Linked DNA regions of Kluyveromyces lactis. The protein of the gene in region 5 purifies or fractionates together with the protein of the main gene of each other region. This does not show direct contact. Links are inferred from orthologs where the notes say so. Each region holds a gene or a part of one and is shown on either strand. Other genes may lie near its edges.

Region 1 (4,340 bases), on a different chromosome or scaffold from region 5:
ACCGCCGCCAATAGCGATGATAATATCTGGCTTGAATTTCTTGATCCTTTCGGCTGACTCTTGGCAGAGCTGATGCACATTGTTATATGAGATGTATTGCTTATCGTCAGAAGACATGGTTTAATCTAACGAGAACCCTTTTTTAATTCTTTAACAGAAGACTGAAATTAATAGAAAAACTCTCCTGCTCTGTGCCTGCAGCAAAAAAGCTATGAGATACTTTAACTTGGGTAACCTGTGGTTGCCACTTCTTTAAATAAGTATATCAAAGATTTACTGATCAAAGAACACTCAACGAATGTTCAAATGGAAGATGAGCCGAAAGAATACACGACACATTTATACTTTATCTGTCAAAGATATAAAAAAAAACAAAACGAAACGATAGATACTGATCCCATGGACAAGATCAACTCCCGTACCGCGAGACGAACCTACGTGCTTGCAACCAGTAGAGAAATTCTAAAATTGTTTACGAGAACGGGATTTCCGAGCCGGATAGACCGTCTACCAAAAATGCACGTTCTAAACCAACACAGAACACCTCATTAAACGCTTCTACATTTTCCATGTTCCACGCTTTAAATTTTTAACTTGTTTGGTTCTGGATTAAATTGAATTCTGAGAGCATCACTAGCAAACAATTGTTTTTTTTAATTAGATTATTTACAGACAGAGTCAAACTCCGATGTTTCCATTACCCGGCCATAATGATCAATCAAGCTTAAAGCTGCATGGAGGAAGAATGTCAGGTCTAAGTCGATACATAGCAGCTGCATTTTTCAATGCGTTAGCGTTTTATATTTTTTCTTTTATGTACGCTAATGCTGAACTTCTTCGTCAGAGTATCCTTCTTCAACGTCGACCCTCATTTCGTCATCGTCGTCAAATCCTTCTTCAGTGTATGTAAGTTCCTGATTATCAGCCTCGCTGTGTTCGTCATCATCTTCAGAGTACTCTGCACTGTCTTCACCATCGTCTATTAATCCAGCATCGTCTAGCTCTTCTATATATTCCACTTCTTCCTCTTCATCTTCATTTTGGTTCGACTCGTCATCCTGATATGGAGCGACAAGTTCAGAATCAAGTTGATCCTTGCCGTATTGTACGGCTCTCTTACTGTTCAATTCATCTAATGAACGTGTAATACGTGTATCCAATGCCATGAGTGTTGGTAAGAGATCTGCTCGTTTCCTCAAAGTAGCATGTAGCGATGACAATGAATTTATCAAATTTGGAATGGTAACTAAGTAACCCCCGTGAATTATTAGGCACCATTTCACCCACACGTTCAAAGCACCTTGTCTATGAGTTTGTCTGGCGATACGTTCAGCGAGTCTTTCCAAGAGAATCGTAGCAAGTTGGGGGGATAACCTGGTTATGGTTGCTTGAATGACTTTTTCGTCGCGTGTGTTAAGGACTGTTTCCAATAGAGCATGATCATTTGATTTTAATGCTTGAGCTAATACAACAGAAGAAGTACCAGCGTTGGCTCTTCTCCTTTCCTTTGGTTTTCTCGATGGTGGTGAAATTATATTTAGTCTATCCTGTAAAGTTTCTGAAATCCCTTCTCCTTCTATATCATCTAAACTTTGGACAATGGATTCCACATGCTTAAAGTTATCACCAGATGTTACCGTTGCATTACCCTCTTTGTAGAGCTTTGCCGAAGAAATATCACTGTTTTGGTTGTTCCTGGTTTGTGTAGATTTAGCAGATGGCAATGGCTTGGATAAAGTGGTGACTGAATCCGTTAGGTTACCTAATTGAACTTGATCAAAGTAAGGTGTGGTTGCATTTTCTAACCACGAAAAATTAATTAGATCTTTGTTGATAAAACTTTTGATAATAGGCAATCTGGTTGCGGAATTAGACCTTAATAAAGTTATAGTTTTGTTTTTTTGTTTGGATATCTTACCAGAACGTCTCTTATTCCCTGAATTGATTGATACCAAAGGTTCTTCAAAGATAGCAATATCCCCATCTTCTGTTGTTGCCGACACGTGAGACCAATCCTCAGATATCGAAATTGATATAACGTTCGAGTCCGCTACTAGGACGGACTTAGTCTTGGTAGTGTCCAAATCATAAATATTCAAAAATCTATCGTCCTGAGATGCACTCAAAAATGCTGTTCCATCTGTGGTCACTTGAAGGAAAGACACAGGTGAAATATGGCCAGGGTATTGTAACAACAATTTCTTTGAAATGACATCGATTAAGTAAATTTGATGAGAAGCGACAAGAATACGATTGCTATCAACTATGCATAGCTTTTTTAAGTCCTTACATTCATCAATTTTGAATTTTTTTGATACATTCTGTGATACCATGTCGAATAAAAAAATAGTATCATCACCAGTCAAACACCAGGCCTTGTCCTTGCTTGAAAAGAGTTGGAAATCTAAAACTGCTAAGCTTGATCCTGTGTTCAGTTTCGCCACTATTTCATTCGATAAAGGAGAGTATAGCCATATTTCCCCTAGGTTTAGACCCAGAACTACCAATGGTGTGTCATTGTAAGTAATCCATTGTATGCATGTACAGCAGACGTCTTTCCCCTCCAAATAGAGAAAATTATCGTTCACTAAACCAGATTTGGAGGCAGTTGTTGGCTCCACTGATACCCGCTGTTTATCCAAAGCGGTGGAAACGTATGCAAAATATTGTCCGGTTGGATCATATTGTGATAATACGACTGGCGAAGCTGTTGCCATCGTTAAGCTTGCTATTGTTATTCGTGTGGTAGAGTGTAGACCTCTAGCTTAAACAGTACGAAAGCCGGTGATTGTTCAATTAATATCCCAAGACGTTTTATCGAAACACTTTAGGAAAGAAGTAAGTACACAAAAGTAAATACTGTGCGATGAGCTCAGATGAGATGCGATGAGATGAGCTATGAAAAGTTTCAAATGAAAAGCTTTAGCTTGGAAAGGAGAAAGAAAAGTGAGATTTACTTACAAAAAACAAGTGCCGGGTAATAAGAAGTTAGCATATATTGTTCACGTGATTTGGAGCATATAGCCAGTGGTCCCCAATTTAAGGCTTTTCTTCAGGATACATCCACTGAGCTGAGTTCGTTAACTCAGCTTTTGCAATCTTATTTTACAACCTCCAAACATTGCCTTCCTGCTTTCAAGTTATACACTTCATATCTCCTAACAAACACTAGTTAGCATTTCTACTGTGATGAGAGGAAGCTGGGTGATTAACACAACATAAAGAATTTACGTCAAGTAAGGAAAGAGCTCCTGCCTAACAACCAAGGTCAACACTTATATGTCTCTGTCCTGTTGCTAATTTGAATATACATCTATATATATATATTTTCCAATCAGAATTCCCTTATTGTCCCTTGTTTGCATAGGTGATGCGATGTGTGCGATGTGTGTTGTTGTTTTAATTTTTTTTTTTTTATTTTCAACTTTTCTTCTTAGTTTGATTCGTAGTTTTATATATAAAGCATCAAAAAATGTGCCAATTTGGCGAGCCATATCATTTTTTTGCATAGTGAATGAAATAGCGATGAGTATTTTTTTAGTATATATTATTATACATAATTCAGATCTAGAGTTCAAGGAGGACAAAAAAGTGTAATACCAGGCATTTAAAAACAAAAGTTGACATTGTTAAATTTGTTTACAATCTGTTATCATCTCAAGTTCATCCAATTATCTAATTGATTACTACGTGAAGTGCTTGTTTGGTATATTGACTTGCAGCACAGAATTAAGTTCGAGAGTATTATAGTTTTTTCAGGGAAGCTTGCAAAACCAAAAAATAATAATCACAAGCTTTATCTTAGAAAATAAAGACCGTTAGAATTTCAACCATAAGCAATTGAAAACATGGTTGGAGAGGTTGACGACGTTACATTACCGAAGGCTACCGTTCAAAAAATCATATCTGAAGTACTTGATTCCGATCTAACATTCAGTAAGGAGGCTCGTGAAATAATCATCGAATGTGGGGTAGAGTTCATCATGATGCTAGCGGGTTCTGCTAGCGAGATCGCAGATAAAGAGTTGAAAAAGACGATAGCGCCTGATCACGTGATCAAATCCTTACAAGATTTGGAGTTTGATGAATTTATTCCACCATTAGAAGAGATTTTACATCAACACAAAGAAAACCAGAAGATTAGAGAGAGGCGGGATGCTAAATTCAAGAAATCCGGTTTGTCTGAGGAGGAATTACTACGACAACAGGAAGAATTATTCAGACAATCTAGGTCAAGGTTACAACAGACATCAGTATCGGACGCCTCAAGCAACGATCCAGAAGTTGGCGTAAAGGCCGAAGAATTCTGAAAACATAACAAACAAAGTGTTGCATTATCT
Region 2 (3,980 bases), on a different chromosome or scaffold from region 5:
TTGCATCTGAGGCTTCCGTTGCATCTGCATCTGTCTCAGCTGCCTCCGCTGCTTCTGTTGCCTCTGTTGCCTCTGTTGCCTCTGTTGCCTCTGTTGCCTCTGTTGCTTCTGCCGTTTCTGAAGCTTCAGCTGCATCGGTTTCTTCTGCCTCTGTTGCGTCTGTTTTATCTGCTTCGTTAGAAAACAAGAAGACTGCAATTACTTCCCATACTTTAGCTCGTGCTACCGGTTTGTTAGCTATTGCTTCTTCTAACAGTACCAACTCTACTACATCTACTATACATTCCATTAACACAACTACTTCTGAATCTCAATCTCAATCATCCAAAACTACAGTGTCTGCAACTTTGACTTCCTTGACAAGTGATTCTTCTACCGGGGCTTCCACTTCAGGCACTTCAGAGTCTACTGGTGCTGCTTACCAAGTTGGAATTAACGACGCTTTGATTGGTGCTGCCGCTGGTATTGCTTTGGCCTTCCTATGATTCCTTTACTTTGGGAGTTGTTTGCTTTCTCTTGAGACGATTTGTGTTGTTTATTACTCTTTCGTTCCTTGCTTGTTTACAAGAACATGAGGAACGCTTAATACTTAAAATAAAAAAATCCATTTGACTTTTCCCGATCTTTTCCTTTAATCCTTTGAGCTATTCCTTTGATGTTCCCGCATTTAATTCTCTACGTCGCTGGCTATGTGAATTAAATCTTATCTGTTCTCAAATTCGTTCTCTAACACCTTATTTTATCATGGCTGACAATGAAAGACACTACTCAAAATCATGTCACAATGATTTCTATTAATCCTTTCCTAGTTCTCTACATCATTGATCGGTTAGAGCTCTCTATATATAAATATATACCCTTGTAACAATTACTAATGTATTTCGGCTTTATTAAAGTATTCTTCTTTTTACTATACAGGAGATTTTTCTATTGATAAGATTAACTAGAATCCGGTTTGTTCTATCACAGCAGAAAAGATACCATTTCTTGCACCTGGTACCTTGCTAATCCATCTTCCTAATCTATGTTCTTTACTGACACTTGCTAGAATTCTGAAGGTTTCTCTACCGGTTCTGCCGGATTCTACGGCTTGAATTTTGGTTACCACACCTTTACAGTTAGGTAAGTCTCCTAATAGTTCAAATGCTCTTAAGTTCTCATTGATTTTCCATACCTTCAGGGTTCCATTCCAGGATCCTGAAATGAAAATATCAGAATATGGAACGGCGTATAATGATGTTATCCAAAATGGTTGGGCAATGGATCCACCTTGTAATTGTGCATTGCGTAATTCATCGCTCACTTCCCCAGAGATTTTTTTATCCTCAACTAATGGTACAACACCATGAGCAGTTCTAACGGTGAAAAGAGGTTTCTTTTTGGATAAAGACCATAATGATATATTTCCGTTATCAGAGCCAGTAACGAAATGTGAATCATCTACCATGCTAATACAATCGATACTTCCCTCGCCATAAAAGTGAGGTGGGGTCTGTTCATGCATATCTTCTCCGCCTTCTGCGGACAATTGTTGGTTCTTCAACCATTTTTTCCTCAGTCTTTCAGGATCATCACCACCTCTGAATGTCAATCTGGATTCGTCAGCTATTTTCCACAACATAGCGGTACGATCCCTGGACCCCACTGTCACACAACGCTCCATATTTAGGGCAGAGATATCAATAACCAAATCCTGATGACCGTATAATATTTCCAGTTGAGAAAACTGGTTAATAGCATACGTTCTGATTTTGTAATCGGCACATGCTGCGAATAATTGATCCGAATTCTTCTTGAATGCTAATCCTAAAACCTCACCTCTACGATCTTTGGTTGGAATAATTTTCACAGGGGCTAAAGATTCGGTACTCCATACTATCAGTTTACGGTCACGACCACCACTAACTACGTATTTACCATCAGGAGAAGCTGCCACCGTTAAGATTTCATCGTAATGACCTTCTGTCACATTCTCGTACTCAAATTTACCTTCCGGTATGTATTTTCTACCACCTTTAACATATTTCACTTTTTTTGGTCTAGCTTTGAAATCAGTAACATCATATTTTGTTAATTGCATGTCCTTGCTAACAGTGTAAGCAAATATTTTGTCCTTGCTCTTATTTTGAACATCTTTATGAGAAAACTTGTTAACTGAGGGTTGATAACACGAAATACATGTTAGATTATTTTCGCCTACTCTTGTAAACGTTGTTCTGGATTCACCTATCAAAAGCTTATTTGAAATCCATCTATAGATACGCCCTTGTTGCTCTGCAACATCTTGTTTCAATCTGGAAGCAATGATATCTCTGTCCAAGTCACGAGCATCAAAGTTATTGTAATCCTCTAATTGTGTTTGACGGTCCTGTTCAGTGCTTGCGGTCGCCAGAGAATCGCCAATATCTTCAGCTTCAGCCTTTAAATTCTCTAAATATTGTTTAGCCAATCTTCTTCTCTTATCAGCAGGGTTTTCGCCTTCAAACTCGTCTTCAGATTCCAAGTATTCTGCTACCTCATCGCCATCATTGGATTCATCTTGGACATCACCTTCATCAGAAGAAATATCCGTGATTTCCTCATCTACCTCTTCGACAGAATCCCTATTACGTTTTTTTGAGACATTGCTTGTACTAGATCTAGCCATGGTGTACTTGGTGGCCCTCTGGTTGCTGTCTCGTCTGGTTTAGTTGCAGCTCATCGCCTGTTTCAATGATGTTGGTTCAGATGTACAATTTTTTTTTCAGTATCGCCAATTTGTAAAAGAAACGACACCACTTGAAAAGTGACAAAAATTGAAGAATGCATGAACTTGCAACAGAATTAAATAATAGTTTGGAAGACTTTACTCGATTCAACGACCTATATGCCTGATTTCATTGGTATTGCTAGAATTACTTAGTTTAATTTACATTACGGCAGAAAATGAACGTCAATGCACGGATCGGAAAATCAATTATTATTTAAACTGACAATACTTATTCTAGTCCAGATAAGAAGAACAGGGGATTATCATATATTATTGAAATCGGCCTCAAATTTGGCCTCAATAATCGTGTTGATTTTTCTTACTAGTGGAAGTAGTTCAGCTCTTTCTGCAATTTTTCTTGCAGCAGATAGGGCCTTATCTTGCTTCAGTTCGTTGACGATTGAAACGGCCTTGTTAACATCTTGCTCGGAACAGACATAAGCTAAAAGTCGTAGTAAGGACTTATCATGTGTTGCTACCAGATGCTGTAATAGATCTGTTTCATTTCCGTATATCTCACCTTCATTATCCATCGTGTCTTTTAGTAAATCACTTAGTATCTTGGAGCGTAGAAATTCCTCTTCTGCTGCTAGGTACATTGGAATTTCGACACCATTACTGTTATCAATATCTTCCACATCGCTGCTGTCGTTACGATTATCGTCTTGTGTCTTTTGAAGCTCGGATTTTGATACAACTGGGATTCTGACTTCCATTTCTGTAGGAACGGTCATTGGGATATCTGGCCATGCGTTCTTCCCCTTCAATAATAAATACGAAAATGTATCGAAGTTTAATCCTAATGGCCAAACGTGGACGTTCTTCGGATGCTTACCCCCTGACATCTTCCAAAGTTCTAAATTGGTATCAACTATGGGTACCCATCTCGCGTCACTACCACTTCTCCATTTGGACAGAATTAACAAAACATTATCATGACCAAACATACACGGATCACCAAAGCTTGAGAAGAATAAGGATTTGATACCTAGGGGGTTGAATGAATTGAAAATATCATCGTATTTTAAAAATTCAATGTCTTCATCATCATTTCCCGGCTGATTCTGTTGAGGCAACGTTATTGGTAAGGGAGATTCTCTTTGGAAGTATTTATTGCCAGTTTGCGGATGTTGTTGGAACATCGAGTAAGTAATACCATGATATTGTGAGTAATGAATGGTGAACACTTTGTACTCATGAGCAGACAAAGCAACAATAGGTGACATTTTTT
Region 3 (3,828 bases), on a different chromosome or scaffold from region 5:
ATATGGACCAAACTCCCCAATGCGGATCGGCGATATTGGATTGCAGTTGTCAGAAACACCAAAGACGCTTGGTAGAACCCTGGATTTGAAAAGTTCTCCCTTCAGCCCATCGCCGCTGATTAAAAGGCCGGTGAAGACACTGTCCCAATTAGCGAAGGAACATGCCATTATAAAAGACGAATTCGAATCTAACCCAGAAGATTTCAGCGAATTCACTGCGATTAGAACGCTTATGGAAAAGCTGATGCAGGAAGAACATATGGATATAATTGAAGAGGGGGACGAGGGAACTGTCGGCAATGAAACTGAGAGCAATTATGTGCGGAAAGTTAAAACCATAAAGAAAAGAACAAAAGCGAAGATGAGACCAGCAGCATTAAACGAGAAGTCGACCAACATTCCAGACAAAAATGTTCATGAACAGCTAGCAAAGTTGAAGGAACGTGAGTACAATAAAATGCTGGGTAAAGAAGTGGAAGAAAGTGAGTCTGACTCTGAACAACAATCCAATCCACCCGTAAAGAAGAAGCAACGTAAGAGTAAATACAACCTTGTTAGCAACAACTTCAAGCGTTTGAATCTTCCAACAAAGGCAGGAAGAAACAGAGCCAGTAAATGGAGAGGAAGAAGGTGATTTCTTCAAAGTCAGAACGTTAAAAACAAAGAAACAGACGTAACGAACGGGATGATACAGTTGTTGCAGTCTATGTACTATAAATGTAAATAAATATAATCTTTTACACGCATTCCTTTTTGTTATAGATCAGTGTAGAAAGGATTTTATCAGTTTGTTAACAATTGGAGCATACCCTCTATCTTTTGTGCTTCTTTTGCTTTGCGGATCTCTTCCCTTACTCTTTTCTTTAGAGTGATTACCATCTCTTCAAGTACTGGGGACTTCTCCAGTACACTACCGTAGAGTTCAATTACAACCGCAATCCAGTCTGCAACAATTGGTGCACTTCTAACATCTTCTATTCCCTTCAAGCACCAGTTGAGTAGTGGTTCTAGAGAACTTTCGTCTCTACCGTATAATGCAACCTTGATTTTACCTCTTTTCCTTAGTTCTTGTAATACCGTTAAAGTTAATTCTTTAGCCATACCGGGGATAAATGCAGAATCTAATGCGTCAGACCATTTGAATTGGTTGATATGCCTTTCGAATTGACGCAACTTACGCTGAGGATTTGGCTTATCGTTGTGTATAATATGCTCTTGATCACCTCTGTATTCGGACCCTCTCATCATTCTCTGGAAATTGTTGGATTTCGCAGACTTCTCTTGCTGTTGTAATGGTAAATCCTCCAAATCAGAGACATCAGCGAGGTTAATCTTTTTGGACTTCTTCTTCGTCTTGATGGCTAGAATTCCTGAGGATAAACCTGCAACGAAATGTTTATTACCTTGCGCATCGCCTGGTGAGACTGCACAACTTAGCACAGCGTTGCTAAACTTCCAGCCAAACTTGAATTGGAAGTTCTCCAACGGGGAAAAGATCTTAACATGACCATCAAGCGAGGATGCAACTAGTACGGAACTCATTGGTGATTCTTCTCCCATATTTGTGTAATTCAAACAGGTGACCGTCTTTGCGAAATTTTGACGTTCACAAAGGGCTCTATCGCTAGTCAAGTCCCATACTTTGAACCCGTTACCACCACACGATGCAAGCTGAGTAGGAGATATGGCTGTGATATCTTCCACAGGAAGACCGTGATCCAAAGTTGTCTGTGGTTTATCTGATTTCGTTCTAATATCGTACAATCTAACTACTCCATCGTACGACCCTGTAGCGACCATATGTGGAGCATTTGGCACAAAGCAGACTGATCTAACATAATCAGATGCTCCAGTTAACTGTAAAGTGGGTTCATAAGCATGAGAAACATCCCATAGTCTCACTACTCTATCGTCGTTTGCCGTCACCAAAGTCTTGTTATCCTGATCGTGAAACTTCGTCACATGCGTAGGATGCGACGAAGCTTGTATAGAAAGCAACAAAGTACGTGGATTATAACTATCATAAACGGACACTAACCCAGTAGCGTCACCTGCTACTAAAAGTTTACCGTCTTGACGGAAAGTGGCCGAATGCACCACATCTTTAAACCTAGAAAACGTCTTGATCACTTGTCTTGTCCTTGACGAGAAGACCTGTACCCTAGTAGAAGAGGTAACTGCAAAATCATGTGGATGCTGGGGATTGAAGGCAATATGAGTCACTGCATTGTGCTCTTTAACAAGCTGAGTAGATGAATAAGACCTCCAGTACCTCTGCTCTGGGGTGGTCTGCTTTGGTAACACAGGAGCCTTTACCGGCGTCACTCTAGGTCTCACAGACGACATTTTCTTCACAATATTTCTACCAATCTGATCGCCTGAATCACCTCTATCACTTAACAGTAGTCTGACGATACCAAACCGACTGATATAACTCGCAAATTACAGGGAAATCTATTTTATCAACCATGCGATGAGCTAAGGCTTCAATCATTTTTTTTTTCCAAAATCTGGTTTCTTTTCTTTGAAGACTCGAAGAATCTCGTTGATTGTGATTTTTCAGAGAAGAATAACCGTTCACTGTACTTTACAAGCAGATAAAGGGCCTTTAAGGCCCTTTATCTGCTTTTAACCTGGTTTCCCAGATTTTCTTGATTCCCAGGTATTCAGCAATACCACTTTCATTATACTAACTGGTATTTAGGATATCTTTTCTTTGTATTTCTGCATCCCAGTAGTTATTATTTCGTCTATTTACATTCCATATGTATGGAATTTATTTATACTCACCAGTTTATCAAGAAACTAAACCATGAGAACAGGACACGTTTGAGTCAGGAAGAGGTCTTTCTGGTGCGTTTACAGAGTGTTCCAAAAGTCAATTGATCTAGTATCTCGCGATAATATGGTTTCGATTAATTTAGCAAAGGTTTTTGCACCTCTCCCTTCTACAAAGAGAAACTTTACGACACATTTATCATATGATCCAAAGACTGACAGTTTAGCTTATGGTAGCGGTAGATCTGCCATCATTAGATCTTTAGATGGTGAACATGTCGTTCAATTCAATGGCCATGGTACCAGTAATGTCACTGTTGTAAAATTTTCTCCTATCCAGGGGTCTCAATATGTTGCTTCAGGAGATGATTCCGGTAGAGTTATCGTTTGGTCTTGGAATCAGGACGATAAGTCTGGAGAAATTGAGTACAACGTTAAGTCGGAACTACATGTGCTCGCTGGTCCTGTCGCTGATATATCCTGGGATTTTGAGGGTAAAAGATTGGCTGTTGTTGGTGAAGGTCGTGATAGGTTTGGTGCGTTTGTCTCTTGGGACTCGGGCAACTCGTTAGGTGAAGTCTCGGGTCACTCTCAAAGAGTCAATGCAGTTCATTTCAAGCAAAGCAGACCAATGAGAGCTTTCAGTGTCAGTGATGATGGTTCTGTTGTGTTTTACCAGGGTCCACCTTTCAAGTTTGCAAGCAGTGATAGAACGCATCACGGCCAAGGTAAATTCGTTAGAGACGTCAAGTTCTCTCCAGGTGCAGGGAAATATGCTGTGTCTGTCGGTAGCGATCGTAAGATATGTTGCTTTGATGGTAAGACTGGTGAATTTATCAAATACATTGAGTCTGAAAAGGCTCCAATTGGCGGTGGTTTGTTTGCTGTCGCATGGTTAGACGATGGTGAAGAGTCTTCTAGAGTTGTTACCGTGGGTGCTGATTGCACTGCAAGGTTGTGGGATGTGTCGTTGGATGATCCATTCCAACAGTCTTGGAAATTAGGTGCAGATGTTTCGAATCAAATTGTCGGTGTTGTTGTCACTAAGGA
Region 4 (3,949 bases), on a different chromosome or scaffold from region 5:
AGTAGATCAATAATTGGTTTAATGATGTTCTCCCAATTTTGGTACTGGTTCCCATTGTCCCACTTTTTATCGCTTTCGTTCACTCCAACTACCTTAGTGGGTTTGCGTGCTAGCGATTTGGCAATTCCTAAATTTGCTTTCAAATGTCATACGAAGGAGGGAATTTTCACCTATCCTCGCATGTACGAAGAAGAGGTGGACAAAAATATAGAAAAGTTTGCAGCTGCCGTCTTGTCAACTACCGCCAAGGCCAAGGCAAGAGCTAAGAAAGGTAAAAAAGGAGAACATGAAAAGGTTAAAGAAAAGGATGCAGAAAAAGTAAATGAAGAAAAGCAAGAGGTGGAACTGGAGGAAAAAAAGAAGGAAGAGGCCAAGAATACTGAAGAAGCTAAGATCAAATACACGACAACGAGCTATGATGTTGAAAACCTCACCCGTGTGCTTCCGCAGCAACTCAAATTCATATCTTTTGCGAAAGATAGCCGTTTTGTACCTGTTCGCAAATTCAGAGGAAACTCAGGTGTCATTATCGTTGAGGATAAGACACCTGAAGAACCACTAGAATTAATCAAGACCGTAAGACAAACAAAAGATATATATGCCCCATTACCATCTTCATTTAAAGTCGAGGATTCTCTTGAATTTTAATCGAGAAATTAGGTCCTAGCAATAGCGGTCATCCTTCATAATGTACAGTAAATAATCACCTCAAACTAAGTCGTATCTATATGCAAATAATTCAAACATGTTTTTGCAACAGTCGATACTAAGCCGGCTATAATAACAGATTATATAAGTGTTCATGTAAGTATACATATTGATAACTACTTGATGATTCAAGAAAATCTTGATAAGGCTTCATCAACAAGGTCTTTGTGATCATCAGCAAGTTCACCCTTCTTAATTTTTTCTTTTCTTTGGCGGCTAGACTTTTCCTTCTCTAGTTGTCTTTGTACCCTTAACTTCCTTTCATCCACAACATTACGAGTTTTCTTTCGTAGGAACGCACGTAATCCGGAGTTCTTACCTTTAACATCAGGTCTGGCATCAGGAATGTCTTTGTTTAGTTTGGATTTTTCTTGCTCTGCATTCGAGATAATTGCAAGATCCTTTGCATTTAATCTGACTTGAGAAGCACGAGAATCTACTGTACCTATTGTGTTTGGATTTAATGTTATAGAATCAGCAGGTAACTTATTCAATAATGATCTCACTTCTTGTTCCTGTCTCTGTTTGCTTGTTTCGTATGGGTTGGCCTCTAGTGCGTCGTAGTTGGCTTCCCCTGCGCCTGGAATAATCAAATTGGTTATACCCTTTTGATGTCCAACACCTAGCAAATCTTCGAATGGCGCAAACTGGAAGTTCTCTATTTTATTTCCAGCGAATAAATGAGACATATACGGAGTATTTCTATCTTTGTAACCGCTAGAGGTGAAATACGGTCTAGCAGCTTTCCCACTTTTCAACGTATCTTTCCAAATTGTTACATGAGGCCCTCTTGATACTGCAAGTAGACCTGTATCTGAAATTGCAACGTTAGTACCGGGCGTAGGCATGTTCTCAATACTATGTACTTCTTTAAAGTTTCTGATATCCCAAATCTTTAAAGATTTATCGGAACCAGTGGTGGCCATATAATAACCTTGTCTATCTACAGCAATTCCTGTTATTGATCCTCTAGATGATAATAGTCTTACCAGTGGTGATGGCATTGATGGTGACCATAGAGTGACTGTGCCGTTGCTATGTCCCAAATGCATTACTGCATTCCAAGGGTTCTGAGCCATCGCTGTAGTAGGACCTAGTTTAGTTCTGATCTCTGATACTAGTTGACCTGTCGAAACATCTTGATATTTCAAAAAACCTGTTTGTCCTGCTGTTGCCAAGAGATAATGATATGGTAAATATTCTAAATGTTTGACCTCTATGTGCTGCTTTAAACGATGCAGCTCTACACCTTCATGATCGTAAATGAACGTGTATTTTTTTTGTGCTACTGCAAAGAACTGTTCATTTTGCAAATATGTTGCTGCTTGCACTGTCTCCCCGAGATTTAGCTCACCACGAAGTTCACCTTTCCTCCAATCAAGAGATGCTACATGGCCCTTCCGACCTGCAATAAGCATATGCGTACCATTTCTGGAATAATTTACACGGTACGGACCAAAATCGTTTAATTTCAAGTCCAATGCCTTATTGGCCATGGAGGCGTCAACATGGTGTTTGATTTCAGCCTGTGTGAACTTGAACGTCTTTTCCATCTCATCTTCTGCTTCTAAATAACCATGCTCTTCGGGTAAAAGATATTCTGTAGCAGCAGTAGAGAGTACCGCTTCCTTATACTTCTGATCAATACGCTTCAATCCTGCCTTTAACTTCTTATCCTTGGTTTTCTTCTGCATCTTGTGAGACCCGTTGGCATCATCATCGTTATTCGATCTCTCAAATTTGTCCTGATTGTCTCTCCGTTGTAGGTCACTATACTGTGACTTACTACCTTTCTTAGCAACCATTATTGAATATTGATTCGGCTTCTCGTGAAGTGATACCTGATATCAGAAGATGTAGCAGTAAACTTGCAGAACCTTATATTGTGAAGCTCATCTCATCTCATCGTTTCTTAAAATTTTCGATATTGGATACTCGAGAAAAAAAGAAAAAATCCTTAAGTTGAGCTGAAGAATGATAGACATTACCAAGTAAGAATTGTATATGACTGATAAATAGATCAATCGGCGCATAGTACATGCCCAAAACGTGGGGAAATTCAGTTATAAATACCAAACCCAATGAGTCCAAACGATTTCTAACCAAAATAGCAATCATTTCTTCTTGAAAGAGTAGTTAAGAGTAGTTCCCTGAGTATTTTTCACTTGATCTGCATCCTGTAGTACCGGTGTAAAGTAGTATACTACCTTCTATGCATCTAGACATATGATAGGTATCTAAAAGAAATTAAATCAAAGTACAAATTAATATGCAATGGTGACCTCTGAGCTAATTGCACCAGGCATCTGCTAGTCACATACTTTTGTTCCTCACAGATGTGTTTCCGGAAAACACTCCGTCGAGTCTTAACTGAAAAATGAAATGAAAATGAAGAACTTGAACTAATGTTTTGGTCCTCCCGCAATGAATAGAGAGCTAGATCGTGTATCGTTGTTCTTTTCTCTTGTTATACAAGATTGGAATAGGCAAGTAGAGGTCACTCCGAATACCGCGTATTTTGCTTTTATCAACTATGAATAGTGGGTTCCCACGTATTTTGAGCAAGAAACTTTTTACGCTAAATCAATCGCAGTTCTTTGTCAAGAATGGCATGGTCCCATTGAAAGCAGGCATTTCTGGCCCTAAGCTTTTGAAGTACACTGTTGGGATAGCCATTGGTTCATTTGCGGGATTCTATTTCTCCAATTCGAGGTCTGCTTTCCATGAGTACGTCTTGTGCCCGATGTTGAGACTTGTAACGCCAGATGCTGAAGATGGGCATAAATTAGGTATCTGGTTCTTGAAGAATGGGTTGGCTCCAAGATTATGGTTCGATAACGATGATAAGGTATTGAATGTGAACATTTTTGGTAAGAAATTGACCAATCCAATTGGTTGTGCTGCCGGTTTGGATAAAAATGGTGATGCCATCGACGGTATACTTTCCGGAGGATTCGGTTATATAGAGATTGGTTCTGTGACTCCATTACCACAACCAGGAAACCCAAGACCTAGATTCTTTAGATTACCTTTGGATGATGCTGTTATCAACAGATACGGTTTCAATTCATCCGGCCATGACACCGTTGTCAACACATTACAATCCCGTATTACCAGTTTCATCAACAGTTACATGTTTAAGGACAATTCCGTTGAAAACTTGTCCTTATACAAAGACAAATTGTTGGGGGTCAATTTGGGTAAGAATAAGACCGGTGATGAAGTGCAAGATTATTTGAAA
Region 5 (4,832 bases):
TCAGAAAGATAAATGCCCAGAGGTATTTTTGAACGCAGTAAGCGATAAACTAACATCAACCGCAGTATTATTTCTAAATGTTGAGTTGTTAAGTGACTTCTTTTACAATTTCCCAATTGAATTGGATAAGAAACTAAGTTTATTATCTGATGAACAAGTCGAGATGTTCGCTAAAGAGGACGTCAGAATTGCTAGACATATTGAATTACAAAAACGTAAAGAATTATTGGAACTCGCTTTGGAGAAAATAGATTCTATTCTTATGTTCAGAAAATCCTATAAGGGACTGTCGAAAAGAAACCTATAATGATCACTGTATCCTATACAACCGCTTCTGGAACACTTTATAATGACTACTATTTACGAGATCACTGTATATAAACAAAACTTAATCTTAATATGTTTCTACATGGAAATATGCCAACATCTTATGTAAGGCTTCCCGTCTTTAAATAATTAATGAACTTTTTAAAATCCCAACATACCAAATTTATAAAATCAGATGAATATGCTTTATTTAGGTGATGTGAATAGTATACAATGCAATAGTACATGAAATAGAATTGTGTGCATGCGTGCATGCGTGCTTCTTGTGCTTTCTTTATTTGTCGTTTCAGCAGCTGAACAGAAGTTACAGCAAACAGATGGTAATTGAAACTCAGTGGTTTTGTCTATTCTGGAGTCCATACGTCGAACGTAATAAAATGCAAACAAAGAACGCAAGAAAACAACGCGGTAGTAACCAGTGGCAGAAAAGTGAAGACGTAATTAAAGAGAATGGACCATTTTAGTGTAGAAGGGGGTATCGCAATTGATAGTAAAAGCAGACCACCTAATCTCTTTTTTCCAAAGGATTGTATCTCAAGAACTTTTCAATCAAATCGACATGTGTTAGAATCATTCTTCTGCAACAGTATCTCTTCAACCCCAATCTAGTCAAAGCAGTACCTTCTTCTAGTTCTTCTTCTTGCAACATATTCAAATAGGCTTCCCATTTGTCACCGACAACTTTCCCACAGGAAAAACATCTAACTGGAACAATCATCTCTCTTTAAAAGTATATCGAAACGAAAAAAAACCTAGAAACCTGGAAACCTGGAATAAACCCTCCGAGATTTATAAACTATCACAATAAGTGGATCAAAACCTGCTCGACCTTTTGAAAACTCATATAATTTGCATCACAAATCATCATATTCAACCAGCTTTCTTAATTCTTAATACTTTAATTTTTCATCGGTTCCAAATTTTTCATTAGATGCCCTTATATGTCACTTCTCACGATAGAGATGACCATCGTTTCTTTTCAAATCCTCGTCCTGCACAGGTTTCAACCATAAAATTTTCCAAAACTACAATTCTACATACGGTGAAAAAAAAGAATCCACATTAGACAAATAATTGAAAAGATGCGATGAGCTTATGAGTTATATGATGAGCTTGTCTTTTGAGAAGCAGAGAAAGAAAATACCAAGAGTAGGATCAGCCAGAGGCACCAACAAGAGTATCAGCTGTTATCGAATCCACGTTAAATATGCCAAACTCTTCGTTACCAATGTACAAGCTTTCTGTTGTTTCTGGTGGGAAGGTCGCTCTTCCTAGGATTCACAATAGATCCGCGACTAGAAAATCGGTGAGTTGTCTTACTCAGGACGGGTCAGCATACATTGTCCCTTTCAACAATCAGTTCAAAGTGTATTCAATTGATACTAGACAATGTATTAAGACATTGAAATTTGCTAATAATGATATTTTGACTTCGATACTCGATGAGCCTTCTGTAGAGGTGGTGCATATCGAGCCTATTATTGACGATGAGATGGATAAGATCAGAGTGTATACCAACACTGCGAAAGTAGTTATATTGAAGTATAAGGGTAAATTAGCCACGGAGATTAAAACTTGGTCTTTGAATATTACTGGCGAGTTATTTGCAGTTCTTGGCGATGGGAAGAAATTACTTACAGTTCAGAAAACAGGGAACTCTTACAGATATGATCTATATGAAAACGTTGAAGAGAAAGAGGAAGAATCTGAGGTTAAACACCTTGAAACTTTTGAGAATGTTTTACTTTCAACTTGGTCTAATAACAATAACTACCTTGCCCTAGTTTATTTGAACCAGGAAACTAAAAAACATGTGCTGATCAAATCTATGGTCGACAACAGTTCAGTTCAGAACTTCCCAGTACCATCTACAACATCTAGTACCACCATAAATTCCCATTTTGTCACTGCTCTTGCGTTAGATAACGACGGCCAGCAGTTGGCTATTGGATTTGCATCTGGTGTTATAAATTTGATCAATCTACCTGATCTGTCTCATAGATTATTGAAATGGCATATCGACTCAGTCCTATCCTTAGGATTTACAAATGACAACGCATATTTACTGTCTGGTGGTTGGGAGAAAGTTTTAAGTTTTTGGCAGTTGGCTACTAATATGCAACACTTTTTGCCAAGATTGAACGGTGTCGTCCTGGAATGCTTACCAGTAAGTGATAAGTACTATTCATTAGTGTTACAATTCGCTGAAAATAATACAAATTCTGACTACCAGATTACATTGCTCAATGCCACAGATCTATCATCAATACTTGCCATCAACGGCCCATTCCCGGTATTTGATACCATTACAAACGATGTTGAACAGCCAATTTCTACAGTTAACTCGAAAAGTTCTGTGTCGTCATCCAATATGCTACAATCGAAGAAAAAGCAAAAGAGAAAATTACTAAAGAGGAAAAAGCATGATTTCACCGCACCTTTGTCTGTACATCCATCTACAAAACATCTCTACTTACCACACGTTTCATCTTTGCAGTCTTACGATCTATACAAAAATGAACAGGTGAGCTACCAGTATGTTACATCCAGTGTCAACAATGCAGCAGGTAAGGTTAGACTTGAGTTAACTATCCAGGACCCTGTTGTACAGGATGTGAAATTCACCCTAGATGGTTTTTGGATGATCACATATGAAGTTGAGTACCCACCTGAGGGTTTATTGTCTTCTAAGGAGTTGTCACACGTTCTAAAATTCTGGAAATTAGATGACAACAAAGAATGGGAGTTGAAAACTAAAGTGTTGAACCCACATGGTAACAACGTCCCAGTGACAAACATAACTACAGCTCCAAATAGCATAAATTCTTCCCAGGGTTGTTTGACTGCTGATAACAATGGTGGATTAAAATACTGGAAGTTTGATTCGAAACAGAATAACTGGTGTTTGAACAGATTATTACTACCCAACTACAACCATTTTTCGAATTCGGTGCAACTAGCATGGTCCTTAGATGGCTCCTTAATCTTCCACGCTTTTGAAGATAAGCTATCTACCATTGAATTCAGCGAATTCAAACTACTGGAAGATGAAAATGAGTTACCAATCGAACGCACTTTGGATACTCCAATTCAAGCTCTTACACTTGTCAACGATTCGACATTGATAATCTCCACGAAGACTTCCTTGCATTCGTTCAATTTATTGACACAATCCACCATCAGCAGTTTCGATATCTACCCTTATGTGAACGGAGTTTACAAACCGGGCCATTTTGCCAGACTACTTGCATGCGATGCGAACACTGGAAGAATCGCACTTGCCATTAACCAACAAGCAGCAGGAACTGATGGCAATCCAACCTTACAACATAAAGCCAACATTTTAATTTTCAATTCCGATCTAACAGAAAAGTTGGGCAGCTTCGAACACAACGAATACATATCGTCGTTGGTATGGAATTACGCGGCAGATTTTATTTTCATGGATATCCAGTCTCGTCTTGGAATCGTGAGCACCACAACCAGCTCGGAAATGGTGGACGAATCGAATAATGATCAAGCATTTGAATCTCTACATCCCGATTCATTCAGCGAAAAACTACAAGAGCTTACGAGAAAGAAAGGTTTGGCAAACACAGATGCTGAGGATGGTGTAGATGAAGACATAGATCTAGAATTCATTAACGGGAACTTGTCACAAAACAAGACCATTAACATGAACAGTTTTACAAGTTTGTTTGAAAACATCGACAACGTTCAAATGAATACCTTGTTTGACCGCGTCATGAAGATTATCACATAGATGTTTTATACATTGACTCGAACATACGTATGTGTATATAATACAGAGAATATTTAAACAACCCTCCATTTAATTATTTATTCTGTCACTGACAGAAAAAATACTCGATGACAGATTAAATATGGAAAATAAAATAATCTAATAACTGTAAAATAAAACAAAAAACTAATGCGACAGAGATCAAAAAGAAGGAAATCACCTCCAAAGCAAATTAAGGCAGATGTTATGAAACATAGTTCCACCATCGCATTCCCAAGTCCATGGATGTACTGACATCGCTCCACTTCTCCCGGTAGAATACGTCTTATACAACGCTTTAAAATTAATATTATATCTGTTTTCAAACTACCAATACCATGACCACTAGTCCAGTGACTCACAAATCCACTTGTATGTTGCTTCCCAGTAGAGTCACAGACCAATCCACTTTGTTGAGCAAATTCTCATGTCATCCTTTTGCTGGTCACCATTTTATAGAGAGCGGTGTGCATGCTAAATCACACTTTATCCATTTTTATCAGAATCACATAGAAACGCACGTACAAAACGGTAATATTTTCTCCCATTTTTTCCAACAGCAGCTTCGTCTTCCTTTTCCCACCCGAAGTCACTTTTTCACGACTTGTTTTTTTTTTCTGATATAAATATGAAGATGGCTTGACATTTTTTCAGAATAAGAAAATAAGAGATATTAAGGTATAATATGCTTTGAAGCGGTAAAAAGGTTTTAAGAATGTTAAAG
Region 6 (4,681 bases), on a different chromosome or scaffold from region 5:
TTCTCGAAGTTGGAAGAAGATATCTTTCGAGCTGGCGATTTCATTTCTTCTATCTTCTATTGTGGTTTCTTTGATTAGGTCATTAAGTGAATCAATTATAGTAATGTACTCTCCTGAGTCACTTGGTGCATCGTGGATTAAACTGTGAAGCTTGGACCACCTAATTTCAGACATGTATGTTTAAAGCGCTTTTATGAACAGTAGAGCGCAATGTCACGCTTTGTACCGCAATTTCTCTATTTTGAATATTCTTCATCTCATCTGATCTCATCTCATCTCAAAACTGTTCCTGAATTATAAGGTTTTTAACAATTTTGAATTTTTAATATGCATGTAACTTATCAGATTAAGAGGCAATAACGTAAGTTAAAAACGGACAACAGTGAAAATCTCCATGTGAATTCGTGGTAATGATTGTTTTATTGAAATTAATGAGATGTGATTTTATATATCTATCATGCTAGGAATTATATATATTCTCTTTTTAGTGAAGTATCCCGATTTCATAGTAGGATTTCGTCGTCAGAATCTTCGTCATTAACAGGAAGATTAATAGTTTTTTCCTCGAATCCAACCCATTCACCTCCATCTAAATCGTCGTCCATGTTGATATCCTCTTTGTCTTCAGATTCGTTGTCTGAATCATTGCCCAGTAGATTCATATCCTCGTCAACAGCGTTAGTTGAAGAACCATCGGTATTTGTCAAAAAGTCTAATGTGTACTTATTTCTCTTGTATGTTTGGACGACGTCATTTGCCATTCTACCAATAAATCTTTGGACAGCTCTCAATGCGCTAGAGAATTGATGCTTATTAGTAGAAATGTATTTGCCGTGGGCTGTAAGTACAGATTTGATCCAAAGGAGATTGAACTCCAAATGCTGTGATTCTAAAGCGTACTCACCAATGAATTTTAGAATTCTTGATACGTAAACCACTGGCAACTCGTGAGCTATCAATGGAATATCCTTTATTGGAATATTCTCATATACTCTGTGGATTAGATAGCCCTCATTTAGACGGAAAGCCATTAGTATGGCATTGAGATATTCCTTGTCATCTAAGCTTTGGATAACATTCTGTGGAGTCACATCGACGTCAAGATCGAAAGGATCAAAAAGAATAGTATTATCAACGGAATATACAAGTAAACCTTCTGTTGAACCGGCGGCAAATGCATTAGCAGTAGGAGAGAATCTTATAGACGTCACTCTGATCGCCGGTCTGACTCTTCTTGTCGATAAGTCACCTCCTCTATTCGAACCAGGAAGGCTGTTATCTACGCGATCTTCCAAGTCTGAATTTTCTGCATCTTGATCAATGAGATCCAAAGATCCTGCTTCTGTCATTCTACTTGAGTTTAAAAACTCCATGGTGCCGTTTAACATCATGTTTTTGGATACGGTAAATCTTCTTAGCAGTACTTCGTTTGGAATGTCATAAAGACATATGGAATTATTGTTACCGGCTGCAACCAAAGAGAGACCATCGAAACTGTAATGAATGGTGGTAAAATATTTAGATCTTGCTGAACTTTCTGATGTGAACCGATCTTCCAAATGTCTACCCGAGATTATATCCCTTTTGCCGTCAATATTTCCCACCTGTTTGCCCTCAGCAACATCAAAGAATAATATTTGCCCCGCTAGAGTACTTGCAGCTATTTGTTGACCATCCGGTTTCATAGAAATAGATAAAACATCAGAAAATACTTCAAAAGGCTCTACCTGTTGACTTCTACCGAAGAGAGACCACACTCTAATTGTTTTATCCCATGAAGCGGATGCCAAAACTCCATTCTCATTACTGAAAGATAAACAGGAGATAGGACCTTCATGGCCAGATAGTGTATCCACTAACTGACCAGTCTGTACTGACCAAACAAAAATGTCAAAGCTATCTTCCGACCCGGCACATACAACTTCTCCGCTTGGATCAACTGCTAATGAGTTGAACTGTATTCTTTCGGTCGCAGTGAACGTTCTGAAATTACGATATCTGATCAAGTCCCATGCTTTCACGGTACCATCCAAAGAAGCTGAAAACAAAACTTGACCTTTTTTAGCAAATTCTACTGCACTTACACCACCTGCATGTTCATCAAAAGTTGCCAAACAGAAACCTGACGCGACATCCCAAATCTTGATCTTACCTTCGTGACTTGCTGTGACAATCTTCGATCCATCTGGGGAGTAACACAATCCATTTAACGTATCGAAATGACCTTGTTGTTTTAGAATATATGACTCTGATTGCCATTCGTACACTATCAATTGCCCAAGTTTACTAGAACCGAAAGCCAACCATTCACCAGAACTGTTGATGGCAACCGTATTAACTGCATTTTGACCCATTGAAAGTTGTTGAATCATGATGAATTCTGGCAGTTCATAGAGTCGGAATTCACCGTTTGAGAAACCGACTGTTAATATGTTGGATGCAGCATGGAATGCAGAACACTTCACCTTTGCTCTGTTTGCATGGAAAAAATTCTTCTTTGTGATTCTCCAACTATATTTTGACAAATCTACATCTTCCTCATCTTCATCATTGTCTTCCCCTTCACCAGGCTTTTTGGTGTATTCCCATTGGAATAAGGCACCATCTTTACTGACCGTGTATATCTTTTCCTGGTCATCGCTGAAATATGCTCCGATAACGTTATCTCTATGTCCTGCAAAAGTCGTCGATGCAAGATTTTTCTCCTCCGAGTTAACTGACCATATCCTTGCCGTTAGGTCCTTGGATGTGGATATAATAAATCTTGAATCTTTTGACCATGTCAAGGAAGTTATATCAGAAAAGTGGCCGGCATGGATTCTATAACGAACAAAAGGTGCAAACTGTCTATCCTCAGTGGTCTCGGGTGTCCTCCATATTTGTAAGAATCTCCCACAAGCCAGCGCAAATAACTTGCCATCAGGTGAAAACTTCAAGTCATAAACCTTTTCTTTGAAGTTGAAATGATGCAATACGTTTCTTGTCTTAAAGTTCGCCAAGATACCACGACCATCGACATCAATGGAAAGAAGTAACGTACCTTGCTTGTTGATATCTACAACGGCAACGTTCTTCCTATGTTCATATTCGAAGGTAAAAGCAGTATTGTTGATCAAATCAAATACCGACACCCTATTACCTACCGGTGAAAGTAACTTGGAACCATCTTGAGAGAACAAGACGTTACCTTGCCTATAAACAGTTCCCAAAAGATTGGAAAACTTAAAATCAGACTTCATCCGTAACTAAACCCTTATAAAGCTCGTCTGACCTGATTCCTTCCAACTAATTGAAATTGAACAACTGATTATAATGCAAAGTCCTTACAAGTGACTGATAATCCGTCTGCACTTCCTGCTTGAACTCATCTCATCTCATCTCATCTCATCGCTCAATTTTTTCTCTTAAATTTTTCGAAATCCTGTATGCTGAATGAAAAAGAAAGGAAAACATATACAGCTTTAGCACGGAAGTAAAGAAAGAGAGAACAGAAACATGTCGGTTTTTGGGTGGATTGTCGTTTATGTCAGCACTTGAAACTTAGTATGAGTACTTCATTATAGCTGTTTTCATACTTTTACCAATGACCTTTTTATTTCATTTATTTTTGTACAATGTTCCTTTTATAGTGCAGATCCTTGCATTCTGAAATACGTCCGACGGGGTTTAACCATGGATATTTCTATCTTCTTGCTATCTTTCATTTTCCGGACAATCGTAAACAAACTTTTCATGAAATTCTAATATGTAAGATCAAACCATTCAGCAGAAGATTGATGAGATGAGCTGTATTAGGACTTTAATGATACATTAAAAATGTATTCCAGTGTCAATGATATAGTGAAGCCTATTTGAAAGCGGTAATAGGGGCACTAAGACGAAAAGGTAACAATGAGTGGACAGAAACGGCATGAAGTCACAGGCAAGTTATCCAATAGAGTGATGAACATGAAGTTCATGAAGCATGCGGAACAAGCAGACAAAGTTAAACAGACCGAGGAGACAATAAAGAAATTGGTGGACTCGTCAGAATGGAGGATAGGTGACAATGTAAAACTCTTGACAAAACTTGCTAATAAATCAAAAGTGGTACAGAACGTAGGTTTCTCTGCTATCAAGTCACTGAATGATGAGGATTCGAAGATCGATACAAACGATCTCAGCACAAGCACACTACGGACTAGTGTAAATGCAGGAAGAAGAATATTCGGAAATAAACTCGGACGAGCTACGCCCGGTTCAGATGGGAGTTCTAATGATAAGAAAAGAAGTTTTGAAGAAAAGGACGAGGACGATGTGTCGACGACAGATTTAGAAAAGCTATGGGAAGCCGAAACACAGACTAAGAAACAGAAGAAATCCAATGGTAATGGTAATACTGAGAGGAATAAGAAGAAGTCAAAAAGGAATAGAAATTAAACTTCATAGCAGGATGCTAAATGAGACACTAGTATTTGTATATTATTTTCGCCGACTTATATAATAAATAGAGTAGATCAAATTCCGGTAACAATACTCCATTCTATAAATGTGAACTATTTTGACCTCTTCTTACTTGAAGTAGAGGTAGCAGCTTCTGTGAAATGCCCCTTCAATATTACTTCTCTAGTTGTTGAATTTATATGCTTGAATCTATCTGGACCAATATGAACTCCTCCGAACCATCTTCCAACGGCAACAA
Region 7 (4,728 bases), on a different chromosome or scaffold from region 5:
AAGAATAATAGATTTTTTTAGAGAATGTACCGTCTATGAGGAGGGGTTGGGATACGTGTGTAAGTACGCAATGTTTGAAGCTACTAAAATTGACAAAGGTACCAAGGCCAAAAAACAAACTAAGAGAATGTTTTCCCAAGCAGAACAGGATGATAGTGAAACCGAATCGGATGAGGGTGTTAACAAAATGCTTCAGTCATATATGTACTTCGTTGACGATTACAAGAATGCAGGCAATGCAGTGGGCAAAAATCAGCTACCAGCTTCTCCAATCGAGCCATCTTATCACCCATACAGCTCTACTAAAGACTATTCCTGGAAGACACAATTTGCCTTAGGTAAAAACTCCAATCGTAAGAGAAATCTTAATCGATCAAGGGTGAAGAGATTCCCGGATCGTAGTTCGGACCTTGAATTAGGCTCATTGAGTGGTTCACTTATCAACAAATCTACCCTTTTTAAGGATGATATTGCTGATAATGCTGACGAACTGAAGGCGGGAAATGGTGTTATGGGCCTATTAAACCAATATTACAAAAAATCAGATCGCAATCGATGATAAAGTTTATTAATGTTGAGTATAGATTATATAATATGCAGTTAACGTTTGGTATTACGGAGCTTCTTTTCACGCTCATATTTGTTTTTCTCAGCACCTTCTTCAGTACTGATTTGATTGACAATACGTGCCATCTTGGAATGGTAATCGGCGTACTCCTTCTTCTTTTCTTCAATGCCTTGTCTTGCCTCGAATCTAGTGTCTTTACGTATTTCTTTCATAGTGAACTTACGTTCCTTCTTCAATTGCGCCTTCATCTTGTTCAACTCACTTCTGGTCTTATCTGGATCATACGACTTCTTATCTGGGTTGAAGTTCTCTTCGAATTTAGGCGTATTTGATGGAATCGCCAGTGGTTTATGCTGTTGCAACGTCAATGGCAGACGTTCTTGGAATTTCAATAGCTTTTCGATCTTTTCCACTAATTGTTTTGGTTTAGAAGTACCAGGATATACTTCGGCAGCCACGTTTAGTATGTCTTTGAAGGGATTAATGATTTCTGGGAAGGCAGTAAGATCTTTCCAGATGTTCGTTATGCACCAATCAATTGATTCTAGATTGTTGACCAGCACGGACAGTTTGATAGATTCTTGCTTTTCTAGATCCTCGGAAAATAATGAGTGTAATTCTAAAGAAGGGGCGACCTTGGACCAGTTAATATCCGAGCCTACTATTGATAAATTGTCCTCCTGTTTTTCTTTGTTTTCTAATGTTTCCCCTTTGGTACTCGGTATTAGAGAACGCAAAGATGTCTGCAAGAAGTATGTTAACTCAGGAATATAACGCTTGCTTATACGTTGATACTGGATGGCGATTCTAACCAGTATCGAACCAAATATTAATTTTTGAAGAGAATTGAACCTAATTTGTTCCAAAAACTCTGCAATTAGAAGCAGACAGGGAGTAATGACTAAATGATAGTGATCCGAAGTGGAGAACAACATACCAACAACAGAGAAAAATACCAAATCTGATGGAGATAGTCCATAGAACTGGGATTCTTTGAATCTAGTCTGAATATCTGAGATGATATTTCTACAATCCTCTGATAGTGGAATGGTAAACTTTTCTGAAAGAGTCTTTAGAATGCTTACTAGTTCGTTTTGTAATGATGCAATTTCTTTCACATTAACCGAGTAATCTTCTTCAGCCAAGAAAAGTATATGTCTGAGCAAAACAGCAGTGAATTTGCCCAATTTTTCTTTGTTTCCCTCAGCCAATTTTGGTTGGTATGTTTTTACTATTCTTTTAACTAAAGATGGATGCTCTTCGATAGGATAAGATTTCAAGAAATTTAGTAAGTCATCGTGAATTTGAGGACATGGAACAGAAGGTATAACTCTTGCTGAAGGTCTACCATTTGATGTAGCGTCGTATTCATTGTCATCATTGTTATCCTTCTCGAAATCAACGTCGTCATCCGAGTCAGGAATTGCTTTGATATATTCACCATATTCGCCCTCCTCAGAGTCGCTATCTTCCCAAAACTCTTCTCCCAAATCTTCAACACCAGCATCTTTTTGATCTTCAATGTTGAAAATACCGTTCATACGATCAAGCCTTTTCTGCTCCAATTCCTTTTGTTTGTCCTCATATTCTTTCTTAATCTCTTCATCTGTTTTAGTTCTATCTGCAGGGGCAGCTCTTTTCTCCAAGACTAACTCTTTCACCTTGATATCATAATCTGGAGCGATGTCTGTGGAGGTCGAAATCTCAGTTTGAGAAGGTTTAGTCTTTGGTAACGTCCTTAATTCAGACATAATGCTTTCGAAATCGTCATCAAGGCCTTCGATATCTTGGACCAATTTCTCCTGCGCCTTTTGTCTTTCATGTTTGTAAAATTTGGATTTAGCAATGACCTCTTGCATGACTTCTGCCTTAGTCTTCTTTCTTGCTGGCTCTTGCAAAGCGTCATCACCTAACCCTTCATCTCCGTATTGATCCGCCATATTTCTTTTACCAGCTTGTTTCAACCTGAAGTCCTCCGAATCAGAATGCTGTAACCCCAAATCACCTTCATCGAAATCATCTTCCAAGGAAAGAGACTTACCATAATGAGTCAACTTTTCACCGTACACGTTTTCATCCTCACCACCATCGCTATCGTCTAAATTGAATAACGATCTTTTCGTCGAAGATTGACGTTGTCTTTCCTTTGTGAAACGTTCCAACATGATCTCCTCGGAAGTCAAATTCTTATCCTTTTCACCAAAACGTTTATCTAAGACACCACCGCTTCTGTTCTTGCTGGACTTCTTGGCTTCGTAGAACATTTTACGTTGATCTTCACCGGCTTGTTTAGTGATTCCCGGCTTACCTACTGCAAGTTTAGCTGCAGATTCCCTCATCACACCAACCTTTTTATTACGATTTGTTTTCACATCAAACGGATTAAACTGTTCCCTAATTCTTTCAATAGTCTTCTGTCTTTCTTCTCTATCAAACTCCCTGGGAGATTTGCCCTTCTTCTTAGAACTCTTCTTGACATTGGTCTGACCAGTCAACCCATTAGCCTTTAAAGCGGCCTTCAAGTTCTTCAACTGTGAACCACCCATTATTATTCGACTTTGTAACCTATTTGCCCACAGACAAGAAGAATGGTCTAAACACAACTGATGATGCAAGTCAATTCAATACAATCGGCCAAGATACTGAACCTTCTGACAGCCTTTGATTTAATCCCATCTCATCTCATCTCATCGCTCAATTCATCTTCTGTCAAACTTTTAATGCTTTTTCACCGAAAAGAAAGAAAATAGTTACCCGCACAATAAAATCAAATCAAGGTTACCCGAATATCCAGCACAATCATTACGAACGATGATGAAGTCACGTTTTTCTAAGATTCGATTGTTACTGTTACTGAGGAAGCTTTTACCGTAGCTTGTCATTTTAAAGGCATTATGAGAAATAAAGGAAATCAGTTACAGGTGGCAAATATATACGAAATAACCGCGAACAGAGGTACAGCAGGTTACAGTGTCGGTTCTGAGACTGTAAGTTTGTGTGGTTTGAATACAGGACGGATACAGAGAAATTGATTGTATTGCATTTCGGTTTAAGTTGAGCAGGCAGAGCAAAGAGAAAAGAGTATAAATTATATCGTAAAATATGTCCAGAGACGCTCCAATTAAGGCAGAGAAAGATTATACCGAAATCTTGGACGCTGAATTTCCTAAGCTTGAGATTTTGGCCAAGAATGATTATTCCAGTGCTTTGGATCAATTGTTAGTGTTGGAAAAGAAGACTAGACAATCTTCTGATTTAGCATCTTCGAAAAGAGTCTTGACTAAGATCGTAGATGTTTTGGTCGCAGCAGACCAATGGGACCTACTTAACGACCAAATCATGCTTCTATCAAAAAAGCATGGTCAATTGAAGTTATCTGTGCAGTATATGATTCAGTCTGTGATGAAATATTTGGAAGACCTGAAGGATTTGGACACCAAGATTAAAACTATTGAGACGATAAGAACCGTGACTGAGAACAAGATTTTCGTGGAAGTTGAAAGAGCTAGAGTCACTAGAGATTTGGTTCATATCAGAAGATCTGAGAACAAGATCGATGAGGCCACTGACTTGTTATGTGAATTGCAAGTGGAAACGTATGGGTCCATGGAGATGTATGAAAAGATTGAATTTATCCTTGAACAAATGGAATTAAGTATCCTAAAAGGTGATTACTCTCAAGCCACTGTGTTGTCCAGAAAAATATTAAAGAAGACTTTCAAGAATGAAAAGTATGCAGCATTGAAATTAGAGTATTATAACCTTTTGGTAAAGATTGGCTTGCATAAGAAAGATTACTTAGAAGTGGCTCAGTACTACCAAGAAATCTACAACTCTGATTCTGTGAAGGCAGATGAAATTCAATGGAAGGCAGCTCTATCCAGGGTTGTATACTTCTTGATTCTATCGCCATATGATAACCTACAAAATGATCTCATTCACAAGGTTCAGTTGGACAACAATCTAAAGAAATTGCCATCCCAAGAATCCTTGGTAAAACTCTTCACCACAGCAGAACTAATGAGATGGCCAATAGTACAAGATACCTACAAAGAAATTTTGAACCAGGACGGCGTTGCATTCGGGTCTAATGAATCACACTGGGAAGATCTTCATAAGAGAATCATAGAGCACAACTTGCGTGTCATTTCCAAATACTA

Evidence for each region.
Region 1: the proteins of NAN1 (region 5) and UTP5 purify together in Saccharomyces cerevisiae (affinity purification with mass spectrometry; 4 studies listed by BioGRID, with this or other methods). This does not show direct contact. The link is inferred for Kluyveromyces lactis from reciprocal best matches to the Saccharomyces cerevisiae genes NAN1 and UTP5.
Region 2: the proteins of NAN1 (region 5) and RRP9 purify together in Saccharomyces cerevisiae (affinity purification with mass spectrometry; 3 studies listed by BioGRID). This does not show direct contact. The link is inferred for Kluyveromyces lactis from reciprocal best matches to the Saccharomyces cerevisiae genes NAN1 and RRP9.
Region 3: the proteins of NAN1 (region 5) and UTP15 purify together in Saccharomyces cerevisiae (affinity purification with mass spectrometry; 6 studies listed by BioGRID, with this or other methods). This does not show direct contact. The link is inferred for Kluyveromyces lactis from reciprocal best matches to the Saccharomyces cerevisiae genes NAN1 and UTP15.
Region 4: the proteins of NAN1 (region 5) and UTP7 purify together in Saccharomyces cerevisiae (affinity purification with mass spectrometry; 5 studies listed by BioGRID). This does not show direct contact. The link is inferred for Kluyveromyces lactis from reciprocal best matches to the Saccharomyces cerevisiae genes NAN1 and UTP7.
Region 6: the proteins of NAN1 (region 5) and PWP2 purify together in Saccharomyces cerevisiae (affinity purification with mass spectrometry; 6 studies listed by BioGRID, with this or other methods). This does not show direct contact. The link is inferred for Kluyveromyces lactis from reciprocal best matches to the Saccharomyces cerevisiae genes NAN1 and PWP2.
Region 7: the proteins of NAN1 (region 5) and NOP14 purify together in Saccharomyces cerevisiae (affinity purification with mass spectrometry; 3 studies listed by BioGRID). This does not show direct contact. The link is inferred for Kluyveromyces lactis from reciprocal best matches to the Saccharomyces cerevisiae genes NAN1 and NOP14.

Annotation. Positions count from the first base shown.
Region 1 is NC_006039.1:578,726-583,065, reverse strand, and holds UTP5 (Utp5p), read right to left. Parts: upstream 2,718-4,340; coding exon 822-2,717; downstream 1-821. Other genes in the region: HPT1 (hypoxanthine phosphoribosyltransferase), read right to left, coding at 1-117; negative cofactor 2 transcription regulator complex subunit NCB2, read left to right, coding at 3,849-4,310. UniProt on the Saccharomyces cerevisiae protein: Involved in nucleolar processing of pre-18S ribosomal RNA. Required for optimal pre-ribosomal RNA transcription by RNA polymerase I together with a subset of U3 proteins required for transcription (t-UTPs).
Region 2 is NC_006038.1:969,818-973,797, forward strand, and holds RRP9 (ribosomal RNA-processing protein RRP9), read right to left. Parts: upstream 2,648-3,980; coding exon 944-2,647; downstream 1-943. Other genes in the region: KLLA0_B11055g (uncharacterized protein), read left to right, coding at 1-485; chromatin-binding protein CTF4, read right to left, coding at 3,013-3,980. UniProt on the Saccharomyces cerevisiae protein: Involved in nucleolar processing of pre-18S ribosomal RNA. Required for efficient pre-rRNA cleavage at sites A0, A1 and A2, and biosynthesis of 18S rRNA.
Region 3 is NC_006042.1:1,275,050-1,278,877, reverse strand, and holds UTP15 (snoRNA-binding rRNA-processing protein UTP15), read right to left. Parts: upstream 2,347-3,828; coding exon 784-2,346; downstream 1-783. Other genes in the region: SLD2 (Sld2p), read left to right, coding at 1-634; AIP1 (Aip1p), read left to right, coding at 2,906-3,828. UniProt on the Saccharomyces cerevisiae protein: Involved in nucleolar processing of pre-18S ribosomal RNA. Required for optimal pre-ribosomal RNA transcription by RNA polymerase I together with a subset of U3 proteins required for transcription (t-UTPs).
Region 4 is NC_006039.1:804,076-808,024, reverse strand, and holds UTP7 (Utp7p), read right to left. Parts: upstream 2,514-3,949; coding exon 837-2,513; downstream 1-836. Other genes in the region: proteasome regulatory particle base subunit RPN2, read left to right, coding at 1-648; KLLA0_C09240g (dihydroorotate dehydrogenase 2), read left to right, coding at 3,242-3,949. UniProt on the Saccharomyces cerevisiae protein: Involved in nucleolar processing of pre-18S ribosomal RNA.
Region 5 is NC_006040.1:573,547-578,378, reverse strand, and holds NAN1 (Nan1p), read left to right. Parts: upstream 1-1,534; coding exon 1,535-4,090; downstream 4,091-4,832. Other genes in the region: dynamin-related GTPase MGM1, read left to right, coding at 1-307; DNA-directed RNA polymerase core subunit RPB10, read right to left, coding at 833-1,045. UniProt on the Saccharomyces cerevisiae protein: Involved in nucleolar processing of pre-18S ribosomal RNA. Required for optimal pre-ribosomal RNA transcription by RNA polymerase I together with a subset of U3 proteins required for transcription (t-UTPs).
Region 6 is NC_006039.1:783,094-787,774, reverse strand, and holds PWP2 (snoRNA-binding rRNA-processing protein PWP2), read right to left. Parts: upstream 3,240-4,681; coding exon 504-3,239; downstream 1-503. Other genes in the region: CTR86 (Ctr86p), read right to left, coding at 1-174; MPP6 (Mpp6p), read left to right, coding at 3,892-4,419; YIH1 (Yih1p), read right to left, coding at 4,536-4,681. UniProt on the Saccharomyces cerevisiae protein: Required for bud-site selection and cell separation. Also involved in nucleolar processing of pre-18S ribosomal RNA.
Region 7 is NC_006039.1:1,426,137-1,430,864, reverse strand, and holds NOP14 (snoRNA-binding rRNA-processing protein NOP14), read right to left. Parts: upstream 3,115-4,728; coding exon 601-3,114; downstream 1-600. Other genes in the region: autophagy protein ATG9, read left to right, coding at 1-559; proteasome regulatory particle lid subunit RPN5, read left to right, coding at 3,671-4,728. UniProt on the Saccharomyces cerevisiae protein: Involved in nucleolar processing of pre-18S ribosomal RNA. Has a role in the nuclear export of 40S pre-ribosomal subunit to the cytoplasm.